Linked DNA regions of Coturnix japonica. The protein of the gene in region 2 interacts with the protein of the main gene of each other region in a pairwise test. Links are inferred from orthologs where the notes say so. Each region holds a gene or a part of one and is shown on either strand. Other genes may lie near its edges.

Region 1 (4,547 bases), on a different chromosome or scaffold from region 2:
AGGCTAATTAATCTCAAAGTGCCAGGGAAATACACAACAGAGAAAAATTCTGTACCCTTGTAAGTTTTAGAAATGTTATTCTCACTGTGCATGATGAACTTGAAGCTAAGGAAAGGAAATATTCTTCAGAATAGTGATACAAACCTTTCCAAAAGTGCCATCTTTTCTAAGCAAGTTCTGATGGATAAAATGGGAATTAGCTTAGTCATTTCAGTAGCAACTGTTCAACTGTTTGGCCCTAAAAATTTAGATGTAATTATTGAATTTCATTAAAAATATTTTATTGTTTTGTAGAAGCAAACCTGGAGTAGTCAATTCCAGATAAGCGATAAGAAACAAAACCAGGAAGAGATTGTTAAATATGGCCAGACTGAAAGAGAAATGGATGGGTTAATTGTTGAAAAGCTAAGGGCAGCAGTGAATGAAATGACAATAAGCAGGAATAGACTAGAAGAGGAAAATCTGAAACTCCATGAGGATCTAAAAATGTTCCAAAACCAGTTCCAGGTAATGATATATTTCGTTTTCCATGAATGCTGTGGAATAAATTTTGGAGCATTAATTTAATACGACTATACTTTAAAAAGTAGTTCTAAGATGCCTATATACAAGATCTGTGCAGTTACTGTGTGGATATTCTTTGCAGAAGCATGGAATGAGCTGTGAACAGTCAAATTTTTGAGTAAGACTTGAAAAACATTTTATATTCAGTAGTTATATCTTTTTCTGTCTATTTACCTAGATTTTTATAACTTTCCTCTTCCTGTAGCACCACAGAGTGAGTTATCTTAATTCACTTGGCTCCTTGTATAAAAACTATTTGTATTGAATGTCTTTATCTGCTTTACATCTTGTTGCATGAAGTGCCCTTTACATACTAAATAAGTAGATATAAAAGTGTGTGGTATGGTTTATTGTTCTATGAATATTCTTCAGTGCAATGAATGTCTAGGCTGGCAGCATTGACGCAAAAGATTTTATCCTATCTCTAGCTTACCATTTTTCAACTGCTTTATGAAAACAGCTGTTGGGGCCTCTTCCTTTGTTCATAATCTATGGATTCTTACAAGACTGAGATATCATAGAATCACAGAATGTCTTGATTTGGAAGGGACTCCAGAGATCATCGAGTTCCAACCCCCTGCCACATGCAGGGTTGACAACAACTAGATCAAGTACTGGATCAGATTGCCCAGGGCCAGCCTGTCCATAAACACCTCCAAGGATGGAGCATTCATAACCTTTCTGGGAAACCTGTTCCAGCTCCTCAGCACTCTCTCAGTAAAAATTTTCCTCCTGACATCTAACCTAAATCTCCCCTCCTTTAGTTTAAAACCATTCCACCTCATCCTGTCACAATCTGTTCTTGTAAAAAGCTGTTTTCCCTGATGATTATAAACTCCCTTCAAATACAGCAAGGCCGCAATGAGTCATCCCACAGCCTTCTCTTTTCCAGGCTGAACAAGGCCAGTTCATTCAGCCTATCCTTGTAGGGGAGGTGCTCCAGTCCTTGGAATATCTTTGTAGCCCTCCTCTAGACCCTCTCCAAAAGTTCCATATCTTTCCTGTTTTTGGGGCTCCAGACTCAGATGCAGTACTCCAGCTGGGGCCTCACAAGGGCAAGAGTAGAGGGGGACAGTCACTTCCCTTGCCCTGCTAGCCATTCGTCTTCTGATGGAACACAGGATATCACTGACTTTATAGGATACAGGTGCACACTGCTCTTTCAGGTTGTTTTTCCTCAACCAGGACCCCCAAGTCCTTCTCAGTAGGCCTGCTCTCAAGGAGCTTTTCTCACAGTTTGTGTACTGTAATCTAATCTGGGATTACTTGAACCCAGGTGCAAAACATTTGCTTTGTTGAACCTCACTAGGTTCACAAAGTCCCAATTTCTTGAGATTATTTTAGTCCCTCTCAGTGGCATCCCTTCCTTCTGCTATATGAACTGCATCACTCAGCTTGGTGTGACCAGCAAACTTGCTGAGGGTGCACTACATCCCATCATCTGCATCAGTGATAAATATGTTAAAGAGTACCAGACTCAAGACAGTCCTTTGGGGAACGCTTCTCATTACTACCCTCTACCTGGACGGAGAGCCATTGAACACCACCCTTTGGCTGCGACCTTCCAAACAGCTCCCTGTCCACCAAATAGTCTGCCCTTCAAATCCGTATCTCTCCAATTTAGAGAGAAGGATGTAGTGGGAGACCATGTCAAAGGCCTTGCAGAAGTCCAGGTAGATGACGTTGGTCACCATCCCTTTGTTCATCATTGCCATCACTCCACCATAGAAGATTGCAGATTGATCTGGGATGACCTTCCCTTGGTGCAATCATGTTGGCTGTCTCAGGTCACCTGCTTGTCCCTTGTGTGCCTTAACATGTCTTCCAGGAGAATTTGTTCATGGTCTTCCCAGGCTTCCCAGAGGTGAAGTTCACCAGCCTGTAGTTCCTCAGGTCCTCCTTCCTGCCTTCCTTGTAAATGGGAGTGATATTTCTCTTTTTCCAGTTCCCAGGGACTTTATCTGACCGCTATGGTTCTTCAAATATAATGGAGAGCTTCACAGCAACCACATCAGCCAGCTCTCTCGGGACCCTGGGATGCATGTTGTCTGGCTCTATGAACTTATACATGTTCAGTCTCATGAGCTGGTCTTGGACTTGCTCCACCAGTGCAGTGCAGGGGAGTTTGCTTCTTCAGTGGGGAGTTTTCTGCCTCATATCTTCAGCTTTTTTATTAGCAAAGACTGAAACAGATCAAGAATAAGATTTTCATTTCCTTTTTTCTCCAGTAAGATGATTTTGCTTATTAATTTAAGCACTTCAATATTCAGGAATATATTGACTGGCCTGTAGTGACTTAATCTGGAGAAAGATCACCTATTTTTCTTAACTTCATTTAACTTTAGTTACAATGTACTTCACGGTAATTAAGGTATATGGTGGAGATTTATTTCAGGTATTGCCAGGACAACCAAATCCTGTGTATGTGATGTTTATACATTTGATTTGCACATTAGTTCCCTAAGTCACTAGACTGCATGCAGGTTTATCAGTCTGCAAGCGAAAAGACCTGCTTTTGGGGATGTGAAAAGGTTGCCACAAATAGTAGTTGGATTAGAATATATTTGGAACAGGGGGAGTAAGTGTTGTAGAACGCAGGGAGAGTAGATGGCAGCATGCTGTAGCCTTGTCTAAGAAAATCTTCAAGCTAGAGGAAGTATTTTTGGGGGATATCCATATGAGAAAGCAGGAAGTGCAGGGTCTGTCATCAGCCAGAAGGAGTAGGCAGGTGAGCATATGAGTGCTGTATGGAGCACTAGGTTAGTTGGACGTGGGTTGGGTGAAGGGAGGAGCAGGAGATGGGAGTCTTGCTGGGGACAAGTTTGATTTCCATGGCAATTAGCATGGTATTACGTCACACACATCTTGTACGCCGTGACTACTTTGTGTATGCTTCCACCTGTTTCTGTCATACTACTGGTTAGAAAGAAAAGCGAACTGTATGGAAGGTGGATTTGTTGGCTGTGAAGCAAATATGAATTTAAGAAGATCCAAACTGAGACCCAAGAGTATTTCTCAATCTCATGAACTGTTTGGCAAACTTAGTTGCAAACATACACGAGATGCATGAAACCATTGACCTGAAGTTCTTTTTCAAGCATAATTGCTGCTACTGCTGTGGCTGCTGTTACTCCTGGCATTACTACATTCCACAGAAGGAAATATAATTTCTGTAAACGTGCATGGTGAGTGCAGTGCGCCACAGGTGATCTGACTTCCACCACAAAACTGTGAAGTGTTCCCCTTTTCCACTGCATAATCAAATCAGAGGTGTACACACACACACCTCAAATTAACATATTATGTTCTAGTTGTGGCTATCTCTTGAATGTTGAAGTCATTAAGATGATTGTAAGTAAGTTCTGCTGACAATTTTAAAAATTCATTAAACTTTAGTTCACTAGAATATGCCCAGACTTGCATTTCCAAGTTCAAAAAGCTCTTTCAGGCTTAATTTAACACAGGATTTGATGAATGAATCTGTATATACAGACCCCATAAAAAAAACCAAAAGTGCTTCATGTCTGTTTTTGGCAGTTCTTTCAGCCAGAGGAAAACCCCAGGCTTCTTGGAAGGAAGGTCATTCTAATGTGAGGCTCTAAGGGAAATAAACCTTTGAAGTTCCTTGCTTGCAGTGTCATTTTTTTATTCCATTTTTAAAGTAGTCTTTTGAAAGTTTAGAAGTCTCATTTTTGCTTTTAAATATGGAACCTATATTATATTAAAAAGAAGAAATTATGAAAAAATCCTAGTTTTTGATGTAACTATTTTAAAGGCAAAGGAGCAGCATCCACGGAAAATCCTTTTCTTTTGTCTAGATCTTGAAGGAGAGGAAATCAGAAAGCTATTGTAAGAATCTGATTATTGTTGCTCCTTTTGTTATTTGATATCTTTAATGTGATTTTAGCGTATCTTATGGTAATGGCAATAGGAATTCAGATTTTATGATCTCAAATATTACACATAGCATGAGGCCACATTAT
Region 2 (4,547 bases):
ATGAAATCCACATTCATACAGAAGAGCCCAACATGACCCTCATTCAGCTAGAAACAGAAGAGTTTTTTAATACACTGAAGTTCTTCCTTTCTTCCAACCAAACTGAACCTCAAGATTTGATTGTATACACAAAATGTTGTCTCTAATAGAGACAGCAGGAAGCGAACTTACTCTGTGACATCTCTCAAAAGCTTGTTTGGTTTCTTGCAAAAGGTTAACCACCACTTCTTGCGAGAGAAAAGTTTCTCCATGGGTGTCAATGCTTGGCCCCAATGGCAAGTTTGTACGTTGCCTTATTCTTTCCTTGAGGTCTTGAATACTAAAACAGAGACACCAAAAGGTTTTGCTGGGTGGAAATTCTGAAGATCACATTCAACAATATCTTACAATATTTCGGTTGTTAACTTACAAAAACAGAACCCAAGACACAGTTTAGGATATGCAAGCGTTAAGACAGTTAAGACAGCTTAAAAAAAAATTGCTAGTAAATGCAAAACAACCACCTCTGATCCCACATTCAGCTGTGTCCTACCATGGCACATTCATACCATGGGAACACCTGTTCCCCCTCTGGGGCGTGTGCTCTGTGGACAAAGTTCAGCCTCCATACGTTGTCACATTTTACTTTCAAAACACTGAGGTCTTCCTCTCTCATCCACAGCCACAAATCCTTTCATCCTCATCCCTATCTGTGCAGTCATGACTTATTCAAGCATGCTCCGACACATTTCCATGCATAAAGCAACCCATAGGGACAGTCATTGCAATCAATTTAATTTTCCCCAAGAAAATTAAATTTTTATCTTTGCTTTTATTCATCTCATGACTTTGCTATAGTTGTTGTTGTTTTCTCCAAATCACTCTTCATGCCTGACACACCGAACCCAGTAACTCTGAGAGGTGTAACAGTCTCATCACCTTTTCCTCACACAAGTTTTCTTTCTTCCTTTCCCACGTCTCCCTACTCCTTTATAGTGTCTCTACCCTGAGGATAATGAAGTCTTGTTTTACCTTTCTCTAAGTCCATTGCATCTTCTGGGCTCACTAAGAGCTTTTTCACTGACATTGCTATGGTCTTTTCCCCTTCCTAGGTCTTGGGAGGGGACCACAAGACCTGGGCAGGTGAAAAAAAATGTATGCTTTTAGATACACACATATACATGCGTTCGGTACCTTAATTTTGCTTCAGTCCTTTTGTGGGTCTGGATCCTAAGTTGAAACATAAGTTTAACTGGTATTTTTCATTTTCCATGAGTATATAAGCACCATGCATCACCCTTCACATGTAAGATTTCAGAGAAAGTTAACAGGAAATGATAGCAAATTATAAAAAGCTGTAGGTCACTTTAGAAGTCTGCTCTTTTGCAGTCCATCACTGTACATTTGGCACGAAAAACACAACATTTCTCCCTTTACCACCTCCCTTCCACTTCAGAAGTAGGAAACTTCATAGGAGAAACTTACCCTCCAGTGCCAATAGACCTCTTCTGGTGGTTTTTGGAATCATAATAACGTTGCAGAATCATCGCGCTCCTACTTTTCAAATAGCCAATTTCCACCTCAATGTAATTCTCCAAGTAGGAAATGAAAATGGATTTGATAAGCTTAGACAAGAAAGTCTGCTTATCGGTACCCAAGTTAAATTCCATCAATTTGCTTGAAAGATTAGTAGTTCTTTATGCAAAACAAAGAAGGGGAGAGGAGGAAAAGGTTGTATTTGTATGAATTACAGCATTATATGCTTGTAAAAGTACATGGTACAACAGAATCCAGATCATGATTAGAACTTCTAGCAGCTTTATACTTAAGTAAAGAACTTTGCATAATTCATGTTTGATTACATATGGCACAATTGCCATCAAGGGAAGGACTGGCTTTCACCCAGTTTAAAAATCACACTCAAAGATCACAATGTTAAATACCTCCCATTCAAAACGATAACAGCTATTTAAAGTTTCTAAAGAAATTTAATCATTGGAAAGTTTGACAGACATTAAATTTTTCCCATTTTTACGAGGAGTTTACTTTTTTGTCTGATATTCCGACATCTTGATGATGATTAATCAATTCATTCCAAGAGGATAACTACAACAATAATTTTATCATCTACATGCATATACCTTGTATACAGATCGTAAAGATTCTTAAGATACTGTTCTGCATCCGATTTCCTGTGTTCTTCCAGTTGGTCCTTCACATAACTCTGTAAAATTTAGGTATATCTGTTAGAAGAATAGATATCAAACCTCAGGTCATCCTCACTTGTTAGATTATACATATAATTTACTTCAAAGCACACACCTTAACCCAAAGGCTGTATGGATTGCTTAAGTCTCTGATACAACAGAATTTCTGTCTTCTACAGATAAATACATTGTTTTGAAGGAAATGATTTATTAATACAAAGTAGCAGCAGGTAAAGCAAACAGCAAAGAGGGATTGCTTTGAAAACATGCTAGTCCAAACACAAGATCCCCACTCTTAAAGAATCAAAACCACTAGAGGCCTAAGGGTAGGTCTACAGTTGACAGCAAGAGAAAGAGGTACTTATATATTTGCTAACTACAATACATACATAATGCAGATACAAGCTTAGAGTCTTCCTGTAATCAACTATTTGGCCAAAAAATATTATTTACCATAAAATACTAAGTCAAAACTGATGGTCAAATTGGGGAATGAAATACAAACTCAGTCTCCCTGCTCCATATTATCAATAATAAGGAAAACAACACTGACTGGGAAATTGCACTTTGCAATGAATAGGCATACTGCTGACTTCACATACTTAAGGGAGTATATTTTCAGGATGGGTAATGGGGTTTTCAACTAATGTTTCTAAATGTTCATATAAATATTCCAAGCATCGGCTATTACACCTTTATTCATTACTAACCTCACACATGAAACCCAATTCCAACTACGAACAGGTTAAAGATGTTTATTAAATGTGAAACTCCTTTTCCTGACATATTCTGGGTAGGTGGCATAAAGAAGAAACCAAAAGCGTATGACATCTCATGAACTAGCTAATGAACGTACTGATTCCCTTTTAATTTTACATACTGAATTTGAATGTTTTCATTCTTGCTGTATTCACAGTACAAGTAGTTTCATTTGAAGTGGGTCTGATTATCTGTATGAAACGCTATACGGCAATCAACTGTAATTCTACCTCTTTATACAGGATTATGAATCCTGTAAATTCTGAGCAACTGTTACTTCAAGCACATATGGATGAAAAGCTTCCTTGATCACTATAGTATACTAATATTTGAAGTACCTGAAGTTTAACTTCAAAGATGTTTTGGATGAGTTTGGCTAGCACAGTCTCCGGATTGCTGAAGACTTCTCCAACTTGCTTATTCACTCGCTGGCAGAGAATGGCTGCATCTTCAAACACATCATTCCTCAGAAACGCACCCTAGGGTTGTGGAAACAATTTCACAGCATATTTACAACTACTTATAGAATAAGGAAATCAACACCCAAAGAGATGCGTGTAAAACATAAAACGCATTACCTCTTGACACTGTTTTATGTACACATCAACACAATGGGAATAGCCCTGTGGAAGGAGGAAAAAAAATAGTCTTAAAACCAGGCTCTCCGTGACTTTTATACAGAACGAAATTAAGGAGATAAAACTCCTGCAAAGAAATTAACACAAGAAATACATTTATCTGAAGCACAGGCTTTTTCCAGTCCATTCTTGTCACAAATCTAGCAGAACTTCACTTATCACAGCTCACCGTGGATGCACATGACAGGTATTAATGCTCTTCAAGCACGAATGACAACTCACACAATTCAAGAAAAATTCCCCTCAGAATGTTCTCTATTGACAATGTCTCTGATTCCCCACCATAGAATCACAGAATGGCCTGGGTTGAAAAGGCCCACAATGATCATCCAATTTTAAACCCCTTCTGCTTGCAGGGTCACCAACCACCAGACCAGGCTGCTCAGAGCCACATCCAGCCTGGCCTCAAATGCCTCCAGGGATGGCATTTGCCTCCTTTATTGACCTACATTTGATTTCAGATGGAACATTTCAGTATTTTTAAAAGATATATGGGTAACAACCATTTGCCTGTGCAAATATTTTCACTTAAAGGATGAGCTGGTGGATTTTTGTTGGGTTTGGGTTTTGTTTAGTTTATTTATTCACTAATTTTTACCTTGAAATGGAGCAAGACAGCTGCTACTTCTCTCATTCTGGATATTTCGCCTCTCCGCTGCGCACTGGTAAACTCCTGAATTAGCTGGCACTCTAAGTCATGGTATTTACCTGGAAGGGAACAGAGGAAAAAAGGTTAAAAAAAAATTAGAAGTAATCCATGAAGCTATCTAATACAAGCACTGGCAAAAATGGTAATACTGACAGTACTGCATATTTCTTTAATCAGCTTTTACGATATATGGGAATATGGATTGAACTGGATGGATAACTTACTTGCTATCTTTGATTTTACTTCAGAAAACCTGTTAACATCAAAAAAATACCATGATTAATTTCAAATCCACATCACAAGAGAAATCAGACA
Region 3 (4,547 bases), on a different chromosome or scaffold from region 2:
ACAGAACTCCTGATGCATATCAAGGTTAAACAAGTTGGAGCAAGAGCAGGACTGGGAATTACTGCAGTAAAATTTCCCGTCGCCAAAGGCTGTTTTCAGAAGATGAGAGCTGCTCTGTCTTCCTGAATATAAACTCTCTCACACTGTGGAATCCATTACACAAAACAAGGTGCTAAGTCTTAACAGACATTGTGTTTGTGCTGAAAGCAGTTATCAGATCTCTGATTTAGCCTAAAGGAGAATGAAAGAAAATGCTAAAATGTTTGCTTGCCTGTGTAAACACAATCCTCAGTATGATATAGTAAGTGACAACTCTGGAGTCACTGGTTATTTCTATAGTTCCTATTTGCTTACCATTTCAGGCTGATAGCCTTAACCTCAGCACATGTGAATTGCTGTGGTTTCAGAAACTTATAACTAATCCCCTTCTAGTCAGGAATGATATAGATCATATCAGTGAAGATTTCCTGTGAGGTCAACTTTTGTTTTGTTTGTTTTCAAAACATTCAGTTTCTCTTCAGTTCACCCACGTGTTTCACTTCTAACTGAGAAACACTGTTTATAACTCAATCATTGCTGCTGATTTAGAACCTACTGTGTTTGTAGGCAGTCTTAGTGATTCACTTAGGAGAAGAACCTTAGCCAGACAGTGATGCTTCATGAGTGATGCTGTTAAGACTTGGAAGAGAGCCATGAGCCAGCATGATGACATGGCTGACGGAAGTAGGGACTTCACCGCAAGGAGCCATGATATGGGTTAGGGTCAGGGCTGGGTATGTGGGGAGTTCAGAGATAGATACAGATTGCAAACCCACCAGCACTTTCGCAGTGATAGGGCAGGTCCATAGGCAAGCAGGGATGCCCTACTGATGCATTCAGGTCTGGGACAAAGCGAATAGAGGCTGAAGATGCGCATAGGTGCGTCTGGGACCTTGCTGTGATCGAGGGGGCTACTGGTATGCCCACAGCTGAAAAGCAGCTCCCAAGGGAAAGCAGGGCCAGGTTCTGGCTTCCAGTGCTCTTCACAAGAGCTCTTAGTGGAGAAGAACTGACATAGGACACAGCCATCCCACTTCATGTCTTCAACAAGACTTCAGGGGTTCACTACGAGTCCTGATAGAAGGAGCATCAACATGTGCCTTCTTACAGAGAAGGGGAGGTAGGAAGAAGAGAAACTCGTGTTTGAGAGTGAAGCATTTGTGATCTGATTATCCTTCTGTGTTGAACATATTACAAAACAACATGGCTTAAATTGGGGATATATTTCACAACATTTTTTTCCTATCTAAACAAGAGCTGATGATCCTGGATTTTCTAGCTGATTGATTGCCAATTGCCAATTACCTCAAATTAATGAATACAATTGTAAATACTAGCCTGAACATGTCAGAAACAAAAACATATTTTGCAGAGCTTCTAGCTTAGCATTTGCAGTAATATTACTGAAGTGGTATTAATTGGCTGTCAATTAATGCTAGTCAAAACAAGATCACAAACGTCTGCCTAACCTGAAATTGCTTACCTAAATTGTACATGTAAGGCCTAATCTTTCAAGATAAACTGAAGTCAGTAGGACACCAAATCTGACCAATATAAGTTTACCATCACTTTTCAGACTGTGCCAAATGTAGAAAGGAAAGAATCAGATGCATCTGCCTGATGGGGTCCATGAGACTGCATCCAGCTGTCTTTCCAAGTCATTGCTGTTGGTGAGTTGTGTTTGGAGGGGGCCATGGTTCTGTAGATACCAGCTTTTAGGCACATCTTGAGCCACACTCAAAGCTTTCAAATATAGTCTTACAGTGAATTGCTTTAGAGATGATGAAACATAATATTTGAGTACCATATCCATAAGTCTGATCAGATATCTCACCAATCAAATCTTGAAAAGTATTAGCCTTAGTAGTGACAGTTACTGCAGTACTGAGAACCACTTTGACTGGGGAGATTTTAACAACAAACACCATGTCATGTATAACAATGAACTACAACTCTGTTATCACACACTGCCTTTGGCCAAGTTTGTTTATGTCTCTGAAAGCTGCAGAAGCTTAGACACCATAGCAAATATATGTTACAGCCAACTGAACAGGAAACAAAATGCTTCTCATTTAGCTCCATATTTTCAAAACAAGTTGTCTTTTCAAAAATAAGAAAGCAGCTTCCTTAGATCTGACAAAGCAATATCCTTCCTGTTCCTTGTCCCCACTAAGTACCTGGCTGACATTATTATGAATCATATAATTACAAGAAGGAATGTTGAAACACATCATCCACCACCTCACTGCTCAGCATTCAGCAAGTGTCGATGAATGTGCCAATTCCACATGTTTGCTTCATCTGTACTTTATCAAAAGAAAAAGCACTGCGTATTTTTCTCTGTTCACAGGACTGTGTCTAGCCAACGTATCAAAATCCATCAACGTATCTGCCAGCACTGTGAGCTGGCACTGCCCTGTGCCTCCATGGGGCTGATAGCACTCCCATGTTTGGTTGGTGCTGAGGGGCCGGGCTGCTGCCATGATGGCATGGGGCAGGGGGAGGCCACAGTGCCAGCTGTGCCGGGCTGCATGCAGCCTGTGGGCTGTGGGTTGGATGTGTCTGGAAAAATGCAAAGTCTCCACTGCAAGTTGGGGAGCCAATTATGCAACATTCAAACCAGATACTAGCATTGAATATCAATTTGTGTTACACCTGGTTGATTTTACAATGCTCTGATTTATTCAGCGCTTTGTACTTTATCAAACAAGCTGTCAGCAGTGCACTGCAAGTACAAGAGAAAGGTGGTTTGTAGTTGTTTATCTTATTATGAACTGTTTGTTGCTGTTACTATGTCACTGCCAGGCAAGGCCATTCACATATCAAGCATCATGCTGGGCACTCCAAGAGCATAATTCTCAGTTCTCTAGCTTCTTCTAAAAACTTCATTTTCCTTATTATTGACTTAAGATGTGCTGATGGGTGAGAAACAGGAAGTGAAAGTGATGCAAATCTGAAGCAAAGCTGCCTGTGTCAATAGCCAGTATTGCAGGTGAAACTAATCAAGAAAAACAAGCAAGTGGCAAATTGTGTTCAGAGAAGGAAGTAGTATGGATGGCTCTGGTGCCCTTTTGTGCTTTATCACTTGCAACAGTAACAAGAGGTCAAGCTTTGTCAGTGTTATCTTCCTCTTGGCAGATGTACAATTCACTTTTCTCCCAACAGGTAAATCACCTCGTTGGTTTGTTTCAGTGTGTTGTATTCATCAAGCCAAAGTGAAAGGATGACCTGCCACACCAAATCCCACACCAGATCACTCACATCCTGGCCAAGCCTTGTGATCACTGAGAAAACTGATTTCTCTGCTTTTAAATTAACTCTATGTTGTTTTGCTGTCAGGTACTGCACCAAGCATGGAGAATGACCAGTTCACCGAGAAGCAGCAGCAGGTTTCCACTTCACCTAGGCAAGACATTCAGGGACAAAGCAAGGAGGAACCTGTCCCCAGCTCACAGCCCCTGCCCCCCACAGACCAAACCAGTGCCCAGACTGAAGCAGCCACATGTGACATCTCAGAGGAGCTGAGCCGGCAACTGGAGGACATTATTAAAACCTATGGGTCTGCAGCAAGTCTGATGGAGAAGGATGGCACTACAGCAGGAACTGACAAGCTGGAGAAGGGAGATGTGGGCAATATGGAGGATGCAGAGTATGAGGATGCAAATGAAGAAAGTGAGAAAGACAAACCAGCCCCTGGAGATGCTTCAAGAGCAAAGGAGCCCAGCACTAGCAAGGAACAAAAGCTGGAGAAGAAAATCCTGAAAGGACTAGGCAAGTGCTTGTGTACTTACATAGCTATTCTGCTAACAGTAGTAAAACCTCCCTGGGCTTCACTTTTTCCTTTTTTAAGTCTTTGCTATGGCTGATAGGGACCACTGAAAACCACGGCAGCTGTCATAACTTTATTTGATAAAAATTGTCAGCAGTTACCTAAAAGATACAGTGGGCTTTATCAGACATTAATCCTTGTACAGGGATGAAAGCTCAGGATTTTATCACATGGCTGGTAGATTAATGGTCCACCCAAACTAGTGGCCAAAGCTGTGAGTTTGAAGAAACACTGAAGAATACTTTTTCTTAGACAAAGGGACACCTGATCTCTTGTTTATGCCCCTGTACATCTATTTTCCTACTCCCTCAGTTATGATTTCTCAATGGTCATAGCTGTGCCAGTGGTGTTACTACATGGAGTGGCCGAGAGGGAAACTGCAAAACAAATTCACTGCTATGATCTCATTATATTTCATTCAGCAGACTCATCACAGACTGCAATAAATCATTAAGTTTGCTCCCCCTAAGCATAGTCATTGGTCCTTTTGGCAACTGCAGGATCCTCTTAGCTGAGCTTAAAATCGTTTCTACTGTACAGCCACTAGAGAGCAATGTAGCTGCATCCCAGTCTAGCAAATGTATAGTTTATTTCCATTTATACATAACTTCCACTGATCCTCATGCCTCTTCTCTGCATGAGAACTCAAACCCAACACTAGACTAATCCTACAGAAGAA
Region 4 (3,877 bases), on a different chromosome or scaffold from region 2:
AATGGCCTTGCACTGCTAGCTCTTTAACAGTGCCATCTTAATAGTGGCAACAACTCTTTGTGTACAGTACCATTTGTTACACTGATATCCACACCATAGCAATTACTGGTTGCTGTTGGTAAGCATTGCTGCACTGTCTCTGAAGCCCAACCTGTATCATTATTTCTGATACATGCGAGTATGGCCTTTGCAACAAGATTGCAAACAAAGCAGTGCTCGGTAAATGAAGAGCAGCAGGAAGGCAGAAGGAAAGGGGACATTCTTCCACCATGCAAAGCAGGCTTGTCTCTAAGTACATCCTTACCCCTCCTGCCAGGTGGGACACAAGGACTTTCTAGAGCTGCTTTTGCTGGAGGCAGGTTTCAGAACAGTCCCCAGCCTTGCCCTCTCATCTACATTATCATCACCACCACTGACAGACAGCAATGTTCATGCTCCCCACTTCATGCAGCCTGTTACAGCCTTAGGAAGGCTTCAGGGCAGTGGAAAAGCAACAGCAGCCTGTCACATTTTTTTACCCTAGGGCCCTTTTCAGAAGTTAACACAATCAGTTAAAGCTCAACTGCCACCACATGCAAGATTCCCTTCTAAGCTTCTCTCTTCTACAGCTTTTCCCAGCACTCAAAGCCTGACTGCAGGCAAGCAGAAGTGCCTACAAAGCAGCATTTGCAAGGCAGTGCAATGCAGTAGGTGGAAGATAGCCTAGAAAGGTGGGAGTGAAGAGCTGCAGCTGTAAGTCACAGAAGCAGAGAAGTCACAGCACAAGTAGAGCAAGAAACACAAGGCACTGCAGGTTATCTAGATACAGGTACTTTATTTACAAATATTTAGATTAATAGCATTGTTACATCAAATGAGGAGTACAGCAGTCCAAACAAATCCTTTCTGTGACAGAAACAATAAGGCCTACTGTAACTTACTCTGGGAATACAGGTATTGCACCTCAACAAGCTGTAGTCATTAGAACATTTACTTCCAAACTTCATGGCAGCAGCAGGTCCTGGTCCCTGGGCAAACCCCGCTGTGGTACAACCTTGGTTTAAGCAGGACACATCAGCTGTAGAGCTCAAACATACCCATCTACTAAAGAATACTAGTTAAAAAAAACTAACCAGACAGAACAAAGGGACAGCGCACAAACAAGTTACCCAAATCCTATTGTCTGCACATTCCAGTTTTTTTTTTTTTGGCTTTTATTTAACATTGACTGTACAATACTCTGGTACCACTGTTGACTTACACATCTGAACAGTTCATAGTTTTAGTGTCTGGAGAAGGAATTTCAGACTACTTTGTATCTTAAGCACTGCAGTAAGATTAGAAGTCGGACAGCTGAGTGTGGTTAAACACTTACCCTTTCCTTTTGGAAACTGTATTCAGTGTATTCATAAATGAAGCTATAAGTGACATACAGTTCTGCATACAGTGACACATCCTAGTCCTGACACCACAATAAACCCCACACGTAGGCTGTATACTGTGGGTTTACTGTCTCCCCTTTACAGAAGCAGTACGTGTGCCCTCTCAGGAAGGTGGCACCCTTCAAGAACAAACCTGCCCTAGAAGCCCTCAGCTGTAGTGTTAAAATACAACAGTAGCTACGACTCCCCAGGGAACACAAGTTGTTCCGACTGTCCAGTTCAGTATCTGACCATTCAAAAGGTTAAAGGTATAAAAGCATAAGATGTGCAAGAGAACCAGCCTTGGTATACAGAGCAAGGCAGGTAACGAAGCCCAGTAATGTGAAATGCTTACAGAAGAAAAAAGCAGGTTAGCACACTGCTGATTGCACAGAACAGGATTAATAACATGGCATAGAGATACCACAGTGCAAAGATGAAGGACAGATTCCACTAGTGTTAATTTCGGCACTGGGATTCGAGTTCCCCCAGCACAATGTCCACTGTCAACACCAAGGAGTTAAGCTGCTGTTAGTGAACTGCAGTTACACCTACGTCTGTACTGATGGGCGGTGTGGTCACATACAGGTCATACTGTACAAACTGATATTTTCTTATATACTGTTCTAATGCCAGTAATCATTTTCTTCATTAAAATCATATACACAGGATGTATTTAACTGTTAGCTCAGTTCCTTCAAATTTTATACATATTTACGTTCTGTTAGCAAATGGATAAAAGTGGCAAAAAATGATGTAAAGCTATGAGCACAAGAAGGAATGGTTCGTTTCCCTGTGCAAGTTGTACCCTCCTGCACCAGCCCCCCTGCCCCCAACATGCACAACCATGGGGAATCCTTTCAACAAAGCACATTGGTACGGAGCCCCTCTCTACCATCAGAAGTCATTTCACAGCAAAAAGAGAAAAAAAGAACCCAAAAACTTATCCTTTCCTATGGACAGCTCTACACAGTTAAGAGGTGGGGAAGAAAGGCTGAAGAACCATCAAATTAAACCGTACAAGACAAAGCCCTGCAAAAGTGTAAAATCATGAGTCCAGCATCAGTGCTCAGTTTAAATTATGTATCTGTGACACTATCACAAGGACAATCAAGGAAAAAAAAAAAAATTCTAGATTCACCATGCAGGAGAGGTTTTATTACTCTACTTGCCTTGGATAACCTGATTACATCTAAAGTTGTTTAGCAGTTTAGTACTGTGTTAAACTTGTTTCAGTTTTAATTAAACCCAATAAGATGTACAGAAGACAGGGAAGCAATCAAAAGCACTGCTCCCAACAGACAGAGGTGAAAGGTCAGAAATGAAGCCATGGAAGGGGTCACTAGCAGCCGCAGCCTTCTCTCTGGGGCTGGGGTTCGCTGGTTAGCCGCCCCCCCTGCGGAGCTGATGGTTTGTGCTGTACACCCGACTCTGCAGCGTTCAGATCCAGGCTTCCATCTTGGATGTTCTGGTAGATTTTCTTGGCAGCCTCCAGGAAAGCATCCTCAACATTCTCTCCACTACAAGAAGAGCAGCAGGAGTTAATTAGGTTACACTTCAGCACAGAAACACAGGATGTACAGGCAGTTGGCTGGATGTCCTCACTGCTTGTCTCAAGCAACAGAACTGGTAGTATTTAAAAGCAGACACACCATGAGGCATAACAGCCCCTAACAGCCCATCTGCAGGACAGTTTCTGATATGGTACCTGTCTCCAGCTGTTACATCCATTAGGAGCAGCCCTGAACACCGCTCTGTATCAGAACACTGAACATCAGAAATAAACTACAGCACTGAGCTACGTGTCCAGAACAATTCTGAAAGGCCAAAAGACAGCGGAGCTATTGCTGGTCAAACTCCTGTTGTTAGGAAGGTCTGTTAGAACAGGTGCCAGCTGGAATATTTTGCAGCAGGAGATCGGATCATTTGCATTCTGTCAGGCTCTCCAACCAACAGAGCCAACCAGGAGCACTGCATGGCAGCTCCTTTGTGAGGTCAGGAACTGAGCGCTCCCTACAGAGCTCTATCCCTACAGAGCTTGCTTAGAGCTCGAAACATCTGAGGGAAGTACCTGGGGGAAGTCATGCTCTTGGGAACCACCATCAACTACATGTGCACACCCATCTGAGGCTGAAACAAGCTCTAACTAAAACAAACTGATTTTAGCCCAAGTCTTCCTGAAACACAGCACAAGATTTAACTCCTCAATGACTTTTAAGCCAAAGCTGACATGAATTGAAACTGCCAGGCACACCTTACCTCAGGACAAGCCCAGAGTTGTTGGTTTGTTGGGTTTTTTTTTGCTTATAAAACAGTGTTACACTTGGCTGTATTTACTCATAACCAATATTTTCCTTTTAAACAGATAACATCCAATGCGTTACTCTAGATAGAAGTAACTTACGTTTTTGCACTTGCTTCAAGGAACAATAAACCTGTTCGGAAACAGAAATTTAACTGTCAGTCAACACATAATA

What was found.
Region 1: the proteins of EXOC5 (region 2) and DEUP1 interact in binary tests that used the Homo sapiens proteins (3 or more experiments, as listed by UniProt). The two-hybrid records come from large-scale screens. The link is inferred for Coturnix japonica from reciprocal best matches to the Homo sapiens genes EXOC5 and DEUP1.
Region 3: the proteins of EXOC5 (region 2) and TXLNB interact in binary tests that used the Homo sapiens proteins (3 or more experiments, as listed by UniProt). The two-hybrid records come from large-scale screens. The link is inferred for Coturnix japonica from reciprocal best matches to the Homo sapiens genes EXOC5 and TXLNB.
Region 4: the proteins of EXOC5 (region 2) and RAB14 interact in binary tests that used the Homo sapiens proteins (3 or more experiments, as listed by UniProt). The two-hybrid records come from large-scale screens. The link is inferred for Coturnix japonica from reciprocal best matches to the Homo sapiens genes EXOC5 and RAB14.

The regions. Positions count from the first base shown.
Region 1 is NC_029516.1:166,289,427-166,293,973, reverse strand, and holds part of DEUP1 (deuterosome assembly protein 1), read left to right. Parts: intron 1-294; coding exon 295-507; intron 508-4,547. UniProt on the Homo sapiens protein: Key structural component of the deuterosome, a structure that promotes de novo centriole amplification in multiciliated cells.
Region 2 is NC_029520.1:50,519,058-50,523,604, reverse strand, and holds part of EXOC5 (exocyst complex component 5), read right to left. Parts: intron 4,486-4,547; coding exon 4,457-4,485; intron 4,292-4,456; coding exon 4,182-4,291; intron 3,569-4,181; coding exon 3,524-3,568; intron 3,425-3,523; coding exon 3,284-3,424; intron 2,204-3,283; coding exon 2,121-2,203; intron 1,675-2,120; coding exon 1,465-1,674; intron 1,210-1,464; coding exon 1,174-1,209; intron 320-1,173; coding exon 172-319; intron 1-171. UniProt on the Homo sapiens protein: Component of the exocyst complex involved in the docking of exocytic vesicles with fusion sites on the plasma membrane.
Region 3 is NC_029518.1:48,827,607-48,832,153, forward strand, and holds part of TXLNB (beta-taxilin), read left to right. Parts: intron 1-1,615; 5' UTR 1,616-1,709; intron 1,710-3,378; 5' UTR 3,379-3,392; coding exon 3,393-3,810; intron 3,811-4,547. UniProt on the Homo sapiens protein: Promotes motor nerve regeneration. May be involved in intracellular vesicle traffic.
Region 4 is NC_029532.1:6,853,559-6,857,435, forward strand, and holds the end of RAB14 (ras-related protein Rab-14), read right to left. Parts: intron 3,836-3,877; coding exon 3,805-3,835; intron 2,921-3,804; coding exon 2,743-2,920; 3' UTR 795-2,742; downstream 1-794.